2 linked regions of the Oryzias latipes genome follow. The protein of the gene in region 2 binds, or shares a complex with, the protein of the main gene of each other region. Links are inferred from orthologs where the notes say so. Each region holds a gene or a part of one and is shown on either strand. Other genes may lie near its edges.

Region 1 (8,181 bases), on a different chromosome or scaffold from region 2:
CATTTCAAAGCATCACAAACCAGATGGCCAAGCTGCACGCCATCATTGACCCCTCCCACAAGATTGAGTTTCCTGATATTTCAGAGAGGGACTTGCTGGATGTTCTAAAGGTAAATGTGAAGTGAGACTGGTACCTAAACAGCTAGAGTAAGACATTTTGCTCTCTAGAATGACTTGATATTTAGGTCAAATGTTGTGTTTCTTTTGTTTTTTCCAGAGGTGCTTAGTAAGAAACCCTAGAGAGAGGATCTCGATTGTAGAGCTGCTGGATCATCCCTATCTCCAGCTGAAGCCTCAGGCCTCACCTGAACCAGGTACATCTGATTCTGAGAAGGAAATATTACCAGAAAAACCAATCTGCCAATGTAAGTTTAAACCTGACCTGCATTTCAGCAGAGCATCCATCTAATGGGGACCTTCAGAGGATCCTGACGGACCTGGCCGCTCTGCAGTCTCCAAACAGCATCATCCGAGCTGCAAATGTGAGATCTGTTTGGATGAAACGTAATCTCACAGATGGTCCTCTTGAAATCCTTAACTTTTCTTCTCTCTTAAACAGAATTTGGCAAAAATGTGCAGCAGTGGCAGGAGGCTGGATGTTGCAGAATGTGCAAAGTCATCCACTTAAAGATTCTGGAAAGTGTGACGTGGACGTTTCTTCTTCTTCTTTTCTGACCTCCTAGTGACCACTAGGTGTTCTGCTGAAAGAACCAACATGTTCATGTTTGTATATTAACATTTTTCTGAAGTTGTCCTTCTGAGTGATGTTTACTTTTTTATTTTACTTTAGATGTTAAAAATTTTAAGCAAAACACAACATGGAGAAATAAACAAACTGTGTATCCTACAGAGTTTCATTCATACCATTACCAATGGTTGCTGACCCTTTGTGCTCCTCGTTCCATGGTTAGGATTTTGACATGATCGAAGCAAAGGATTCTGCACATCACCTGTTCTTTTTCCCTTAATTTTTTCAAAATGTTATAAACTCAATATTCTCAAAAACATTAAAAAAAAACATAAAAACTCGAATCCTGCCACTGCCGGTCCCAAGCCTGGATAATAAAAGAGGAGGGGTGAGTGAGACTTTATAGTGACTGACCACAAAAATGTCACAAAAAGGAGATAGAAATAAGTAAATAAATGCTTTTAAGAGGAAAGGGAGGTCACCGACATCAGTCAATATGCTTTATTCTGTGAGAGTCATGAATGTGTGCCCCAAAATAGAAAAGCTTTGGGTGAAAGATTTCCAAGATCAACTAACTCTAAAACTAAAAGTCTGGCCTGATGGTGGCGCTAGAGAACAGGTCAACTCCCTGATAGGTTTCATTATTAGGGAGCTATTTATGTATTTAACAAGTGAACAATGTACCTAACACAAAAACGTGGTTAACAATTTTATGTAAATCATTTTCTACAGGCAAATATCCCTGGGGTCAGATTTGCCCATAGGGTGAAATGTGTTTGTAATATCTAAGGATAATACAAGGCCAAAAGTAAAATTTGGGGGGGGGGGGGTAACTTTTTCATAAATACCTGAAAAAATGTTGATGTAAATTTGACATTACATTTGAACTCATTCACAGCATAATTCAGTCATATTCCATGAAATGCATTATCATGAAAATAAAAGGATGTGCATGTTAGAAACAGCAGTATAATCTCTTATTTCAATGTAGAATTAACATGTTTTTGTTTTGTTTTTTTCAAAATAAGGCCCGGTAAAACTGGTACCCAAAACAACACAGTAAAAGTCATATTCTAAGTTTTGGAACTGTTGCAACCAGTCTAACTGGCAGTTTAAAAACACACAAAATAGAAAAGAAGGGATACCTTTGAGTTTTTTTGTATCAGGATGTGCAGTCCAAGCCCAAAACTATACTAAAAAAAATTACAATTACATTGGCCCCACACACAAAAACAGGCTGTTAACTAAGCCAGCATTCCAAGTCATTCCATGCTGCAAAACATCCAAAAAGAAACGGCTTTAACACAGAAAGGGGAAATGATTGTATTTCATTAAAGTCCCACTTCGTTCATCTTTAGATCTATTTTTAAAGCGTTCCCGGTGATCTTTTAGTTATGATTATGGTCTTTTTAGCCAAAATAATAAAAATGTAAAAAAAAAACTATCATTCTCTGGAAAGTAGTTTCTGCAGAGCGGCAGGAGTTCACCAGAAATTCACCTCTGAATTGGCCTGACTGTTGGCATGGAGTAAGCCCCCCCCATTTGACATCATGTTTACACTCTCCTGAAGGCTTACAGCCCCTCACACCCCCAACACAAGACTATGGGTGCAACAAAAACGGTGAGTAGTATTGGAGGTATTCAGCAATACAGCTTTGATCCAGATTCCAGAGGAAAACAAAGACGTCCGTGGATCTACAAGGGGATGCATCAGAATGGAGCGGAGCAGGAAGCTTGCTGTTTGGAGCTTTATTGTCACAGCTACAAGCTTTTTCAAACCGCATTTTTTTTCTATTTGAATAAAGAAATACTCAAATGCATTTTAATTTTCTTTAAATATGTTCATCATGAGAAAAATTATGAAATACAATAACAGAAAAATATTGAAGCACTGTAACTAAAATAGTGGGGGAAAAACCTTCCAAAGCAAATTTTTTCCCAAGTGTTTTTGGATCAATTTTATCTTTTATTTTAATTTTATTCTGGCTGAAATTCAGTACATTTTTTGTCATTTGAGTGGCATCAGTTTTATCCATAGACGGTAAAAACAAGTCTATGGTCCAATCTTTATTTGTTTGTTCGTTCGTTTTTTCCTTTAGAGAAGTGAGTCTTTTCGGGCAGAAAATAAAGAAATCATTTGGAAAATGAGACTCATGTTATTGGATTCTAACGAGCTTTTCCTGTACTGCAAAGTTCTTCGTTAGTTTTAAAAATACAGTGTAACACTGAAAGGACACCGTATTTCTTCAAGTGCATTTTGTTTATGAAAATAAACAGACTTCCATCCACCGCTTACACCGCCCTCTCTTTTAACCAATCACAGGCATCGTCGCTTCAACACGGTGCGCTTCAATTTAAGAAAGAGCGCTCACTCTGCTCCCACACATTACAATAAAACATTTATTAATGTAATTATTTTACCTCTAGTTAGTCTGCTTTAAAAAACGTGTTGACCAAGAAATTTAGACCATTTTAAAATCTCGCATTGGCCATTGCTTTTTGGGTTATTTTTTTTTTCTTTTTTGCTGCACTGTGTATAACATTTATTTAGGATATAGCTACTATATTATTATTACAATGTTGTTGCATTTTTAAAACTCTAATCGTAATAACCACAGTTAGGACAATGTGTCATTAAACAAAGTGTGCTATCTATTTTGTCCATATTTTTCAAATTAGAGTGTTCCATGTTTTCTGTACCGAGTGGTGCCATCTTTCCAACAACACAGGATCTTTGTCACTTCTCTCGCTTGTCCTTCCTGGTCACTGACATCAACAGTGATGGCGGCTGCCGTACGATTCTTCATCCGAGGTGCAAACTCGAGACTCTCCGTCGGTACCGGGACTAGTGGCTCCTTAGGAGCAGCTTTGCTCAAACTTTCTCCGAGCTGCAGCTCTCGTTCTAAAACACAACGGAGACATGCAGCCCACTTTACCTACCAGCCTGACCCCGTCCCGACGCAGTATGGTGAGTGAGTGGCTCCTCCCCTTACCAACCAACCGCCGGCTAGCGCCGTCAGCTAGCATCACCTAACAACGGCAACAGAGTTTACAATGATGAAACGTCTTTTTACAGACTTCACAAAAACTGCAAAGAAGCGATTAAATTATATTATCAATGATAAAGTGGAAATGCAACTATTTCTGACGAGAAAAACCTAAAGTTTTATCAATATTCTTGATCATTCTGCTTAAACCCAAGACACAGTCTTTCGACTTTTATTGTCGAAACAAAATCTCTAATTTTGAGGATTTAAATATCATTGTATGATACATTTAATTAAATATATAAATTAACGTGCAATGTATGGACATGATTTAATATTATTAATCACTAACAAATCAGCCAAGCACAGGCTCAGAGCAACAAGTGAAGGTTTAGTTTATATTTACAAAAATACCTTTTAATTAATAACAGAAAAATTACAACACATCCTCTGCATAGAAACAAGTCTAATGACTTTAAACAAAAAGGACAAACTCCTATTAAACTGTTTAAATGAGTTGTTTTCATCAATCACTTACTATAGGCATGTCCAAAGTCCGGCCCGTGGGCCAAATATTCAAATTTCTGACAGGTTCCTGTCATTATTAAATCAAAAATATCCAGAACCCAGCACTTCCTAAGGACTCTGTACAGTTTCTGAATTGTGATTGGCTGAATTCCCTCCTAAGGAATGATTCAAGTCCTTCCTCTCTTCCTCCCATATTCCTCTTCATCGACAGTTTGTACTCTGCAAACTTTTGTGTTTTTCTGATCAGAACATCAGTGTTTTGTTCTTCTGATTCAAACTCTTTGTTTTGTTTTCCTGGTCACACGACTCACATATAGAAGTTTACTGTGAGCATTATATAAGAAACTAGAAGGAGCTGCATTTCCAGAAGAAAAAGCAGGGTTGAATGCTATATTGCTGAATGAAAATGAAACTTAAAGGGTAATAATGGGGGGGATAATTAAATAAAGAAATGATCAAAGTTGACCATGAATAAAGTGAAAGCAGCACAATAACAAGAAATATATTTTTGTGAAAAATGCCAGCGCCGGGTACCGAACCAACGAGCTTCTGCACCAAGGATTCCCCATTGATTTAAATGGAGGCAGAAATCCTGAAATATCTTGAAAAGACAAGGATTTGAAGGACCAAAGGTCAAAACTGGAAAAAGCTGAAAGAGCTGAACATTTTAATAGTAGAATGGTTTAAATAGCAGAAATATTGTAAGAGTGAAGCGCAAAGAAAAATGGTGGAAGATTATAAACAAATAATGAGAAACAGGAAAATAATGGGTTAAATGCTTTAAAGCAATGACCCAATATATTTCACAAAAATATCGTTTTTGTTATTGTGCTGTTTTCACTTTTTTTTTTTTTGCCAATTATTACCCTTTAAGTTTCATTTTCATTCATCAACATAGCATTCAACCCTGCTTTTTTTTCTGGAAATGCAGCTCCTTCTAGTTCTATATTGAGTTCTATGACGTTGGCGATCATCATCTGTTCCAAGATTCATTTTGACACTTCTTTGAGTTGACTCTTGTTTGCATTGCTAGGTGAAACTCAGAAGATGAACTTGTTCCAGTCGATTACAAGTGCCTTGGACAACACCCTCTCCAGTGATCCCACTGCAGGTAAGGCGAAGAGACAGCAAATGGACTATTACAAGGTAAAGGAGTCAGGGTTCTGCTGTATATGGATGCCATCAGTTCAGTACAGTTTATCAAGCTAAAGCCACTCAGTTTAGTTGGAATTTACAAAAATGGGCATTTATTAAATTCACATAAATTAACTCAGAGATAAAATAATTTACCATAAATTTTTTGGACCTTAGTTCACAATTAATATTTTCCAAAATTGACCGTTCGCTTTATAATCCGATGTGTCTTATGTATGAATCCTGGTTGTACTTCAAGGATTTTCTGTGGTACACAGCTCTCAAAAATCTATCAAAATGCTTTAGTAGGATTTTGATAAACTACAAAGCCGCAGTGCTTGATGGATTGTTGGAGCACTACAGTAACAGTAGTCAGGAGCCTGTGTACCCAATATGTAGTATGCTTTGACATAATAAACAGGAAAAGGGAGTTTATTGTTTGTGTTTTCTGTTTTACAACTAAACAGTGCTGAGTTTTTGTGAATAAAGTCTGACTTATTGCAGATAAAAGCGATGCACACATGGTATTATGTAAGACATTGAATATCCTGAAGAATTAAAACAGAACAATAATGTCTATCATTCTGGATTGAAAATCATTACTGTTGTCTGATATTTTGTAAATACTTGAAGCATTAAAACACCTGTCAGAAGCTTTTCTTCAGTTTTTATCGCAGTTGTCCCATTCTTGTATGATTTTTGTCATTTTTTAGGAATTTTCCCCCCACAAATTCCTAATTTTGCAGTAATTTTTGAGCATGTCTTTAGGAACTGCCTATGTTTTTCTTTTTCATCTTGTTACACATACCACAGTTAAAAATAATAGAAAACCACTCGAATCTATCATGTTTTAAACTACTATTTATGACGAGGACTTTTTGTTTATATCAGGTAAAAATGACCAGGCCAAAGTGATGGTGGAACCTTTTATAGCCAAAGTGTTTTAGGGTTAATGGTAGGAAAAGGTGTTATAAGGATTTTGAAATATCCATAAAAATCTTAAAAATAGGATCAGAAAAAGAAAAAGAAGCCTAAATTTTGCTAAACATCCAAATATCTCATCAAAAGGACCTGAAATCCTTACAGACATTCATCCAATATGTTTTCTGAGGAGATAAAGATAAAGATGTTTTGCTGAAATGCTGTAACCAATAACTGAAATGGAATAGGGAATTTTAAAGCATAAAAATGCCGAAATTAGTGTTTAATTTGTTTCTATTTGAAGCTGAGAGGTGTTTGCCTATGTCGAGGAAGCACAAGTTGCCTATTCTTATGACTTTTCCCTCCTTTTGTGTCTTCAATAACTCTCAGAGTGGCTGACTTGGGTTTGTGTGTTTGTTTTGCAGTTATCTTTGGTGAAGATGTTGCCTTTGGCGGAGTCTTCCGATGCACTGTTGGCCTGAGAGACAAATACGGTAAAGATGCCGTCTGCCTGACTAAATGTACAGCTACCGTATATTTGTATCTATTGTAAGTGTTCTTTTAATTAGGATTATGCCGCTTTTAGCCAAAAGTCTGTGTCATTTTTTCAAACCTATTTTCTGAAGAGCAGCCGTAGTTCATCAGAAATTTGCCTCTGAGTTGTGGGCGGAACTGTTGGCGCAGAAGTAGCCCGACACTGATATCCCATCATTCCTTCGTTTGCACTCTTTTCAGCTAGCTTACAGCCCCTCACAACCCCAAGCTAACATTTACAAAAAACAACCCCTAAAAAAGCGTCGCGTACGGTTTTGAGCCAGATGGCAGTTCTGACGAGGAAAATGAAGATATTAATGCGGGGGGGGGCAATTATTTTGACTCACGGGCCACATGGGGTTCTAAAATTGGATAGAAGGGCCGGACCAGGAGCAGATGTGTGGATGAGAAAGAAATACCATGGAATCTGGATGAAAACATTTGGATAGAGAGTTCTATTTTAAAACAGAGCATTTTAGAGTTTTTAGGGAAAAACTTTTGTTCTCAATTTAGAGCCAATTGCACCAACGGCTTGATTTACCTCATGTAAAACTTAGGAAAATGCTGCGTTCATGTGGAGTTTGAACAATAGGAAGAAGGAAAAACAACAAATCTTCAAACACCACATGGATGATGGAGCAGGTCGCCAAACCTTTTCTTGTGAGGCCACAATAACTCTTTTTCTTTAAACTTCTTTGATCTTTCTTTTATTGTAAAGCCTTATGATAAGGTTTTATTAATTCATGATCCTTTTAATAAAATAAATAAAACTATTTATGAAATAAAAAAATGACCAAATAACTGATTTTCAAAGACAAAAAGTCAGCAAAAATTTTTCTGATACATTGATAAAAAACAATAAATAGTGGATCCTCTCCCGTCATTTTCCCGTTCAAACTGAGCAGCTGTGTCCTGCACGTCTGTTTCTCATCCAGTAATAATGAAAAAAAAACACATTTCTACGTCTTTGGCTGCAGCTAAGCACTTTTCTGTGTTACCTTTTCAGCAGTACAGAGTTCCACCGTTTATTGCAGGAGTTACGTTCTTTGTAGGAAGAAAGGCGCTAAAGGCGCTATACAAGTATACGCCAATAACCGTGATCTGTGAAATCCACAGCGTCTGATTACAGACGTTTATGGCAGTAAAACTCCTCACTGCCCACTTTCTACACTTTTCTCCGACAGACATGAACATTTTCACACTCATCTCTTGTTTAAATTCTCAAACCTTCATAGAAATGAGGTCCAGGATCTTAGAATGAAAACAAAGATCTGATCGATTACAGATTTCTGATCTGAGGAGCTCCACGTTACTTTACAGGAGACACGGCACGGAGTAGATTGATTGACAGGGTCTCCAGCCAATCAGGACACAGAACAGGGTGTGCCG
Region 2 (8,056 bases):
TGTAGATAACGATCCACGAACGTCTTTGTTTTCCTCGTCTGAACTGGAGTCTGACTCTAAATCCAGCTGCACGGCTGAGACTGAATTGACGAGGTCAACTTTACACGATTGGCACTGTAGACACTAAAGAGGACTTGTCGCAAGAATTTCAAATGAAACTTTGAATGTGTTTCACATAATCGCTTAAAATTACAAGCCCGGAACACTGGAGATGCTCTTCGCTCATCTTCTTGGAAGAACGGGTTCTGAACTAACCTGTAGGTCATGGCCTCGATCAGAAAGGGCTGGTTCTCGGCCACCGCCCTGCGCCGCGCTTCCTTTGTCGCATTGTACACGGCAAACACATCGTTGCCGTCAACGCGGATGGATAGCATGCCGTAACCGGGACCCCGAGCAGCTGTTCAACAACAGAACGACAGGCAGAGTGAAGCAGAAAAACAAACAAACTTAAGGGTTGTCATCCTGTGCCGAGTCTCACCAATGCCGTCTCCTCGGTACTGCTCATTGGTGGGGGTTGAGATGGCATAGCCGTTGTTGCGGCAGAAAAAGATCAGCGGGCACTCTAAGGTGGCGGAGAAGTTGAAGCCAGCATGTGCGTCCCCCTCGCTGGCCGCACCCTCGCCAAAGTAACAGATGACCGCGCGGTTCAGGTTCTCCCTCTTGAGTGCATACGCAGCTCCGGCGGCTGGGAACGACGCAGGAGAACGTCAGCGCCGGCGCATCCTCGCAGAGCGGAAAACCAAAACGGCAGCTCACCTTGAGGGATCTGCGTCGCCAGCGGAGAGGAGATGGTGACGAAGTTGAGGTCTTTGCAGCCGTAGTGGACCGGCATCTGGCGGCCCTTCCCAAGGTCATCGGCGTTGGCGTAACACTGAGCCATGAAGAGATCCAGGGGAAAACCGCGGTACATCAGCACTCCTGTTGGACACAAAGACGTTTTGTCTCACTTTGTGGCTCACATCGGCAAGTTGACTGAAGCAGTTTTATAGGTTTTTATACCATCTATTGGAATAAAAAAATACACAGAAAAGCACATTTGAGCTTAGTTTCTTCATCAGAAAAGTAGCACAAGAATATCCTTTCAAAAGAAGTATTTTCAGATGATTTGATGTTCTCTATACAAGTGAGGCAAAGTTTGCTGCAACAGCACAATGCAAACAAACAGCTACAACAGCTTGGTACGGAGCTTTGAACGAGAACTAAGCATCAAACGTCCAGTTTTGCATGGCATCCCACAGGCTGCAGAATACAAGTCTGGAATCGGGAGGGAAATTCACCTCACAAAGAGGAAGTTAACGTCTAATCTGATGCTTACCAGCTTCTCTATATTGACCAAATACCATGTCGGTTGGCTCAAGGGCAGCAGCACTGCCTATGTGTGTGCCCTCCTCTCCATAGTTGGTCATGTAGAAGGAGATTCGTCCCTGAAAGGCAAACGTCGGTTTAAACTTTCACTTTAGGCGGTTCGAAACGCAGGAAGGTCCGGGTACCTGTCTCTGGGACTCGTAAAGAATCCGGTCCATTGTGTTCAGCATCGTCATCTTCTGATAAAAGTTCAAAACTGTCTCCTTGGAGAGCTGAGAACGAAATAGAAAAAAAACACTCCAGTTTTAGCTCATAGAGACATCCTCTCTGGTTAATTGGGAAGCTGGCAGACCTGAGGGTCTTGAGAAGGGTTGATGATGTTCCCCTGTCTGTCCATCACACGATACACCGGGATCCCAGAGATGACATTGGGCTGGATGAATTCCAGGTGGTCCACGAAGTCCGCCGAGGCTCCAGGGAACTGAGGCTTCTCCAAGGACGAGTCAAAAGGCTGCTGGCGGTGCACAGCCTGGCGGGTTCAATACCGGCCGTTATTGATCATTGATAAATGATTGCTGCGCTTTCCGCATGCATGTCTGTCTAATCTGCTTCAACACCAAACAACGCCTTTTTTTTTTTAAAGGCTACAAAACATGACCTTTGCTAAGAATATTTTCAGTGCTCTTTAGCTCCGTCCTCGCTGAACTTTGAAGAACTGCTGATGTAATCAACCGTGATGTTTGTTGCTTTGCATTTTTTTACGCCTATGTCAGTCCCGAGAAAAGGTCATGAACTTAGCTTCAAACGTTTATCTTAGAAAATCTTTTCAGAGAAATTATGTACTTAAGGAGAATGCTTTAAGTAAGTTATACAATTAATTTCTAATCAAACTGTTAGCTCCAAAATGTGAAGAATTTCAGGTTATTGTCTCCTGGAAATTTGTATTTTATAAAAGAAATTAAATAATTAAAGTTACAGCTGCAAGCTATAAATACAACTTAATTTATTTATTTATTTAATAGTACCATAGACTCTCAGTCGTATATGTGGAAACACTAGAAAAGTTATTTTCTGTTCTTTTAGCCAACTTATATTCTTTACTTTTTAATACTTTTACTTCTTTCATTTAATATTTTTTTACTACTGTTATTTTTGTATTTTTCTATTTCTGCCTTTTTAAAAACAAAATGTATGACTTTTTTTCAACTCTTATATTCTCTTGGCACTGCATCTTTTATTGTTTTGTGTTTTTCTACGATTGATTGGACTATTCATATATGAATGAATGAATGATTGAATGGATGGATTCTGTGTATTTGTGTTTCCTGCAAATATTTACGTTGATTTTTAATTACTAAACAATTGGGTATGTTCTTATTAAGTAGAAAAGATCTACATCAAAATATGATGCAAGAAAGGCCAAATGAGGAGGTTTAGGCATCTCTTTTGGATGCCTCCCTGGTGAGGTATTCCAGGTATGTTCCACCAGGGTTAGGTCCTGGAGAATACCCAGGAATACCCAGGACAGACGGTCTCTTGGCTGGCACCTTTGTGGGGGAGGAGAACCAGGAAGTTTCTGTTGTGAGGGAGCTCTGGGCATCTCTGCTCAGAATGTTGCCTGGGCAACCTGACTCCAGATCAGCAGGAGACGATGTATAATAAATGCACCACTGGTTCCCTCTCATACACTGTTTCATTACTACTTGGTAAAACATCACATCATAATGCGAATATAATGCACCTGGTTGTACATTAATTACAAATTATTGTGCTATTTTCCAAATTGTGATCTTTTTAAAGTGTAGCCAAGTTGGCACATGTTCTTCACTAAAAACCCGTGAGATTCAGCCACACAAACTTCCCCGATGAGTACCAAATTAGACCATTTAAAATAATATATGTTTATTTGGGTGCACTGAAAGTGGTCACCGCGCAGGATGCCTTCCCACACCCCCGGCGTCCACCAATAGAATTGAAGCTAGCTAAAATGCTAACCGGCTGGGTAAACCAAAACAAATACACATTACGCCTCCCTGACACCAGCATTGCCGTTAGGGTTAATGCATAAAGTTTTACTAAAATATAGACAGCTTTGCGTCAATCTGTCGAGCACGTGACTACATTAATGAAGTATTATTTTATGAATAAAACACTTGTTTGTGAACTCTCACTAGCATGACTAGCTAGCTAACTAATCATCGCGATAACTTAAATTAAAGATGCGTTCCTCTTTACTTTTAGTAGCAACATAATGTGCATTAACCTTCTCGTAACAAGTCACTTACAGATTATATTATAAGATTATCTGCTGTGACAACGCGGAAATGATACATTTTGAATGATCTCTCTGTTGCTAGCAAGACACTAGCAGATAACCTCAGCAGGACCTGCTAGCTTCATCATCGACCTTGCAGGTTATTTATTGGGAGTCACCCAAAACACAACCAATCCAACAGTTTCAAACTTACGCTGATTCTGAAGGCTCTGCGATGAAGGAGCCAGGGTGCCTTTAGTCCAGCTGTTTGACGAACAGCATGGAAACACAGCCCGTACATTTTACCCATCATGCTGCTAACAACAACGGCCGCCATCGATGTGGACTCTCGACGGAGGAGACAATCGGTTGAAAAAAACGGAATAGATTTGCACGAGCTACACCGACTGACTCTTAAATGTTATATACTCTCATAAATAATCACACATCCCAGGCCCGGTCGCTTTAAAAGAGCCGCCAAGTTAGACACAATATGCACTAAGCTGTGACGTTTTCAAAATAAGACTAGTTTTATTTTGAAATAAAACTAGTTTTATTTTGAAATAAACTAATTTTGTTTGGATTATTTGGATTATTCAAATGTATTTTTTATTAATTTCATTTCATTATTCATACTTCCCACCTCCTTTGATATGTGTGTGTGTGTGTGTGTGTGTGTGTTAAAACAATTTTTTTTATCATAAACATACATGGACTTTATGATCATTTTCATGTAATTAGTAATCAAATCCTCCTGTGACCTATAAAGTATTAAAAGGTGTTAGATTAAGTAAAAACAAATTTAGTAATCTCAATGATGACTAAAATAAAACTGCTTCAAGAAAAGTACTTTCGTTTTAAGTAATTGTGATGGTAAGGTATAAATAATTGATCAGAAGTTAAGAACTGGATAACGATAAAAGAGTAGTTTTAATTATTACAAAGACAGAAAAATTAAGCAAAGCATCATGGGGGGGGGGGGGGGGCTATGTAAATTGGCTTCACTCCCATTCCTTTTCAAGCAATTAAATAAACTACGTTTGAAAAACCTAATAAATAATTTTGTGCCATATGCTGTATGAATAAGTTTGAGTCAGCTTTATTGTGAAATACGCGCTATACAGCACAGATGAAATTGCATTCCTTCATGGTGCAAACAGCTATTATAGATGTAAAAAATAATAATATACAAACTATACAAACAAGTCATATTTACAAAAATAATCAAATACAGAGAGTAAGTTTGGGACATGGTTTGGTATGAGTGCTAATTTGTCTATTTCTGATTAAGAGTAAGTATTATGGAATTCTTCATATGTATGCGGATTTATGTGTAAGTAAATGTATTTTCCAATCAATTCATGACTAATTATCCTACATCTGTACAGTTCTGTTTTTATATCCTAAAAAGAGGGTAAATGTGTATCCAAATAGGGAAATAAAAATTCAGCAAAATGAACGTTTTTAGCACTAATTCATTTAAGTAGAAGTAAAAAATGTATTTTCCTGAATAAATGTTACTTTTATTTTAGTACCTGGTTGCAATCTGCAGGAAGAAAATAAGAATAAAAGCATTTATTTTTTACAGATGACAACTTCATTTCTTTTTTTATAATTTTCATTAAACAGACAAATAAAAAATGAACTGTGTTTCTAAAATGTATTCATTTTTTTCTGTGTTGTATGTGCTGTGCCAACTGTGACAATGGAATCACTTGCATGTGCAGTCCAGGTGTGATGCCATCCTTGAGCTTGAACATGTGGAGAAGCTTTATTTTGTCAGAATGGATCATAGGGTTAAAAGAAGAAGATGCAGGGAAGGAAGATTTCTGCTGATGACAAAGGAACAACGTTTGTTGACAGCAACGCCACAGGAGCGGTGGCCTCTACTCACTGCCGATCTGGTTTTACCAGATCGGCAGCTGTGGAGGGAGCCATGCGGGATCCCAGCTGAGGAAGTGGAGCACCTGAAGCACCTGAAGGTTCAAGGTGAGCGGCTGAGGTCACCTGCTGTTAGGTACCTGAAATCAGATTGGTGTGCTCTTTTTGGATTTCCTGTAAACTATTTTCTTTTTTTTTAAATGTGTTAAAGTCAAGTAACAGCTGAGTGCCTCCATCCAACAGCAGCACATGTAACATTTAACAGAGACAGGTGAGCAGCGACCCTCTGTCTGTGTCCGGGGCGCGGTGTTCTGACCTCGGTGGCTCGTTTCCGAGAAAGACACGTCGTCTTTCACAGGAGGGCTGCCCAGGCCCGAGGTGCTGAATTTCTAAACCATTTGGGTGGAGCTTTGGAGAAGACGGCCAAGTGACAACATTCCCTTGTGTGTTTGCATTTTGTTCATCTATTTTTTTGATTTGACCGGCCCACAGTGATTCAGATCCAACACTGTTTTCATGAACACTACAACATTATTTCTTACTAAGACCTATTCAAACATTGTGATTTGTTTAATTGTTTACAATGAAATAATTGAGCAAAAGTGCAGGTTTAACTTTGAAACAGCCACAGAATGTCTCAAACAAATGAAACGTTTCAAAAATGAAAGCAGAAACTGTGAAAATAGAAAAGAATCCCTACATGTGTCTCTGCAATAAAAAAAAAAACAAATTTTTAGCCACTGAAAAATTTAGGCAAATTATTTGACGGTAAATCATCTTGTTGAAGCAAAATCAAAGAGACAGAAACCTTCAAATGAACATCCAGGCTGTCTCGTTGATTTAGGCCACGATACAAAGTTGAGAATTTTGCTGTTTATTTTTTTGTTTATTTAAGAAAAGTTAGATCCTGAAGGTCTGAACATTCTGAAACTCTCCTGCTGGTCTGCGTGGGTCCTCAAGACACTTCAATAAGGAAAAGAAAAACCAGTTAAGGTTTATTGGCGATACAGGAAATGGTGCGTGATATACAAGTCCATTATCTCTGACCGTTTTCCTCAATGACGTCTTGCGTGTTTGGGATAAGCTCAGATCATGGCTTCACATCTTAGAAAAACTAAGAATTTCCTTGACCAAGACTGAGCACCACAGTAGGTCTTTCCTTCCTGTGGCAATACAATTGTATAATTCCTCTTTGAAAACCAGAAAACTTCATAAAACCACCAGACAGCCTTTTACATTGATTTTAGAATAGAATAGAATAGAATAGAATAGAATAGAATAGAATAGAATAGAATAAAATAGATAATCTTTATTTCTGTAGTACTTTTCACAGAAAGCATCACAAAGTGCTTTACAACAAGATGGCATAAAATCAAACCAAACACAGATATCAAATATTAACAAGGCCTACTGAAAATCTAAATAAAATTTAAAAAAAATACTGAGTAAAATCAACTAAAAGCTCTTCTGAATAAAAACGTCTTGACTCTCAAAGGAATCCATCTGACGCGGCGGGAGGGAGCTCCAAAGACGAGGAGCGACAGCTTGAAAAGGGAGACCTCCTCCATTCTTAAAGTGGGTTTTTGGAACGCCTAAGAGATGTTGGTCGGAAGACCTCAAGGATTGGGCATAAGAGTATGAGGAGTTAGACGTAAGTCGAGGTTTGACCATGCAAGGCTCTAAAAACCAGTGGTTCAATTTTAAAATCAATTTGAAATTGAATAGGCAATCATTTTACTGTTGAATGTGACTGTTTGTATTTTTTAAATTGTTTATTTCTATGCTTCCAGCTGATCAGAGTTACTGTAGCTTTGGTGGTGGAAGACATTTTGTTTTTCTTTTCATTTCCACCTTGTTACATTTGCTGTTGTTGGCAAGTTCAGCTGCAAAGCAGGGTTAAACAAAACATTTAAAAAAACAACAGGTCTTATTGGGCAAAATGTTCAAGCACCTTGAGATGATGACAGTGATGCTGGAGATGCCTGATGCATCCCAGGCGCTCAGATTTAGCTGCTTAGTAGACTCAGAGCTCAGCTGTTGTGCTTGGAATGAATGAGGGTTGAGCAGGATGCAATCTGCTGGGCACCAAAGAGAGAGAGAGCCATGACTGGCTGTGGCGGTCCAGGCATGAAGCACCTTGAAGGAACCGCCCCTTCAGGTCATGCCTGGTGTCTCACCTGAATGGAATTTCTGAAGCCGGCCTGTTGGATGGGAAGGCCTCAGTGGCCTACTGCCTACTACTATTTCCTCCCAGTTGGTCTTGCTCCTCAAGAGTTTAGGGTTCAAAACTAGAAATGGACAGTTTGATTGTGGTGAGATCACTTTGATTATCTCTTGGTCCAGACTTGCTCTTATCTCTTGTCAAGATGTTTACGTTCCCCACAAACGTAGGCGTGACGGCGTTGATCGCAGTTTCCTGCTACAATAGGAACTCATTGTGTTTCTTTGCGTTGGTTATCAGCCTCCCGAGGCTGCTCCAAAGCCAACAGCGGTATGTAAACACAGGCGGTAATTTTCCTCAGAGAAGACTGACAAAAGGGAAGAGGTCATGTTGCCTCACTAAACCCAAGGATGAACAGGTTCACATTTCCAGCAATGATCCGGTGACTCTTATGG

What was found. Proteins that work in one complex are often made in the same cells at the same time.
Region 1: the proteins of bckdha (region 2) and bckdhb are in contact, whole or in part, in a crystal structure (PDB 1V16), measured with the Homo sapiens proteins. The link is inferred for Oryzias latipes from reciprocal best matches to the Homo sapiens genes BCKDHA and BCKDHB. Residues at the interface, in NP_000700.1 of Homo sapiens: Phe155, Leu185, Gly186, Lys187, Arg189, Gln190, Gly196, Cys197, Lys198, Phe202, Val203, Thr204, Ser206, Pro208, Thr211, Pro214, Gln215, Val217, Gly218, Ala219, Tyr221, Ala222, Arg225, Gly244, Asp245, Ala248, Asn251, Phe252, Thr255, Leu256; in NP_000047.1 of Homo sapiens: Pro89, Thr90, Val92, Asp117, Arg118, Phe120, Asn121, Thr122, Pro123, Cys125, Gln127, Gly128, Ile129, Gly131, Phe132, Ile134, Gly135, Ile136, Val138, Thr139, Asp158, Gln159, Asn162, Glu163, Ala165, Tyr167, Arg168, Tyr169, Arg170, Ser171.

The regions. Positions count from the first base shown.
Region 1 is NC_019874.2:4,124,894-4,133,074, forward strand, and holds the start of bckdhb (2-oxoisovalerate dehydrogenase subunit beta, mitochondrial), read left to right. Parts: upstream 1-2,672; 5' UTR 2,673-3,469; coding exon 3,470-3,656; intron 3,657-5,236; coding exon 5,237-5,314; intron 5,315-6,683; coding exon 6,684-6,752; intron 6,753-8,181. Other genes in the region: dual specificity protein kinase TTK, read left to right, coding at 1-110, 218-314, 394-482, 560-628. UniProt on the Homo sapiens protein: Together with BCKDHA forms the heterotetrameric E1 subunit of the mitochondrial branched-chain alpha-ketoacid dehydrogenase (BCKD) complex.
Region 2 is NC_019871.2:5,002,743-5,010,798, reverse strand, and holds the start of bckdha (2-oxoisovalerate dehydrogenase subunit alpha, mitochondrial), read right to left. Parts: upstream 4,099-8,056; 5' UTR 3,897-4,098; coding exon 3,774-3,896; intron 1,835-3,773; coding exon 1,658-1,834; intron 1,578-1,657; coding exon 1,491-1,577; intron 1,425-1,490; coding exon 1,316-1,424; intron 919-1,315; coding exon 757-918; intron 686-756; coding exon 479-685; intron 398-478; coding exon 256-397; intron 1-255. UniProt on the Homo sapiens protein: Together with BCKDHB forms the heterotetrameric E1 subunit of the mitochondrial branched-chain alpha-ketoacid dehydrogenase (BCKD) complex.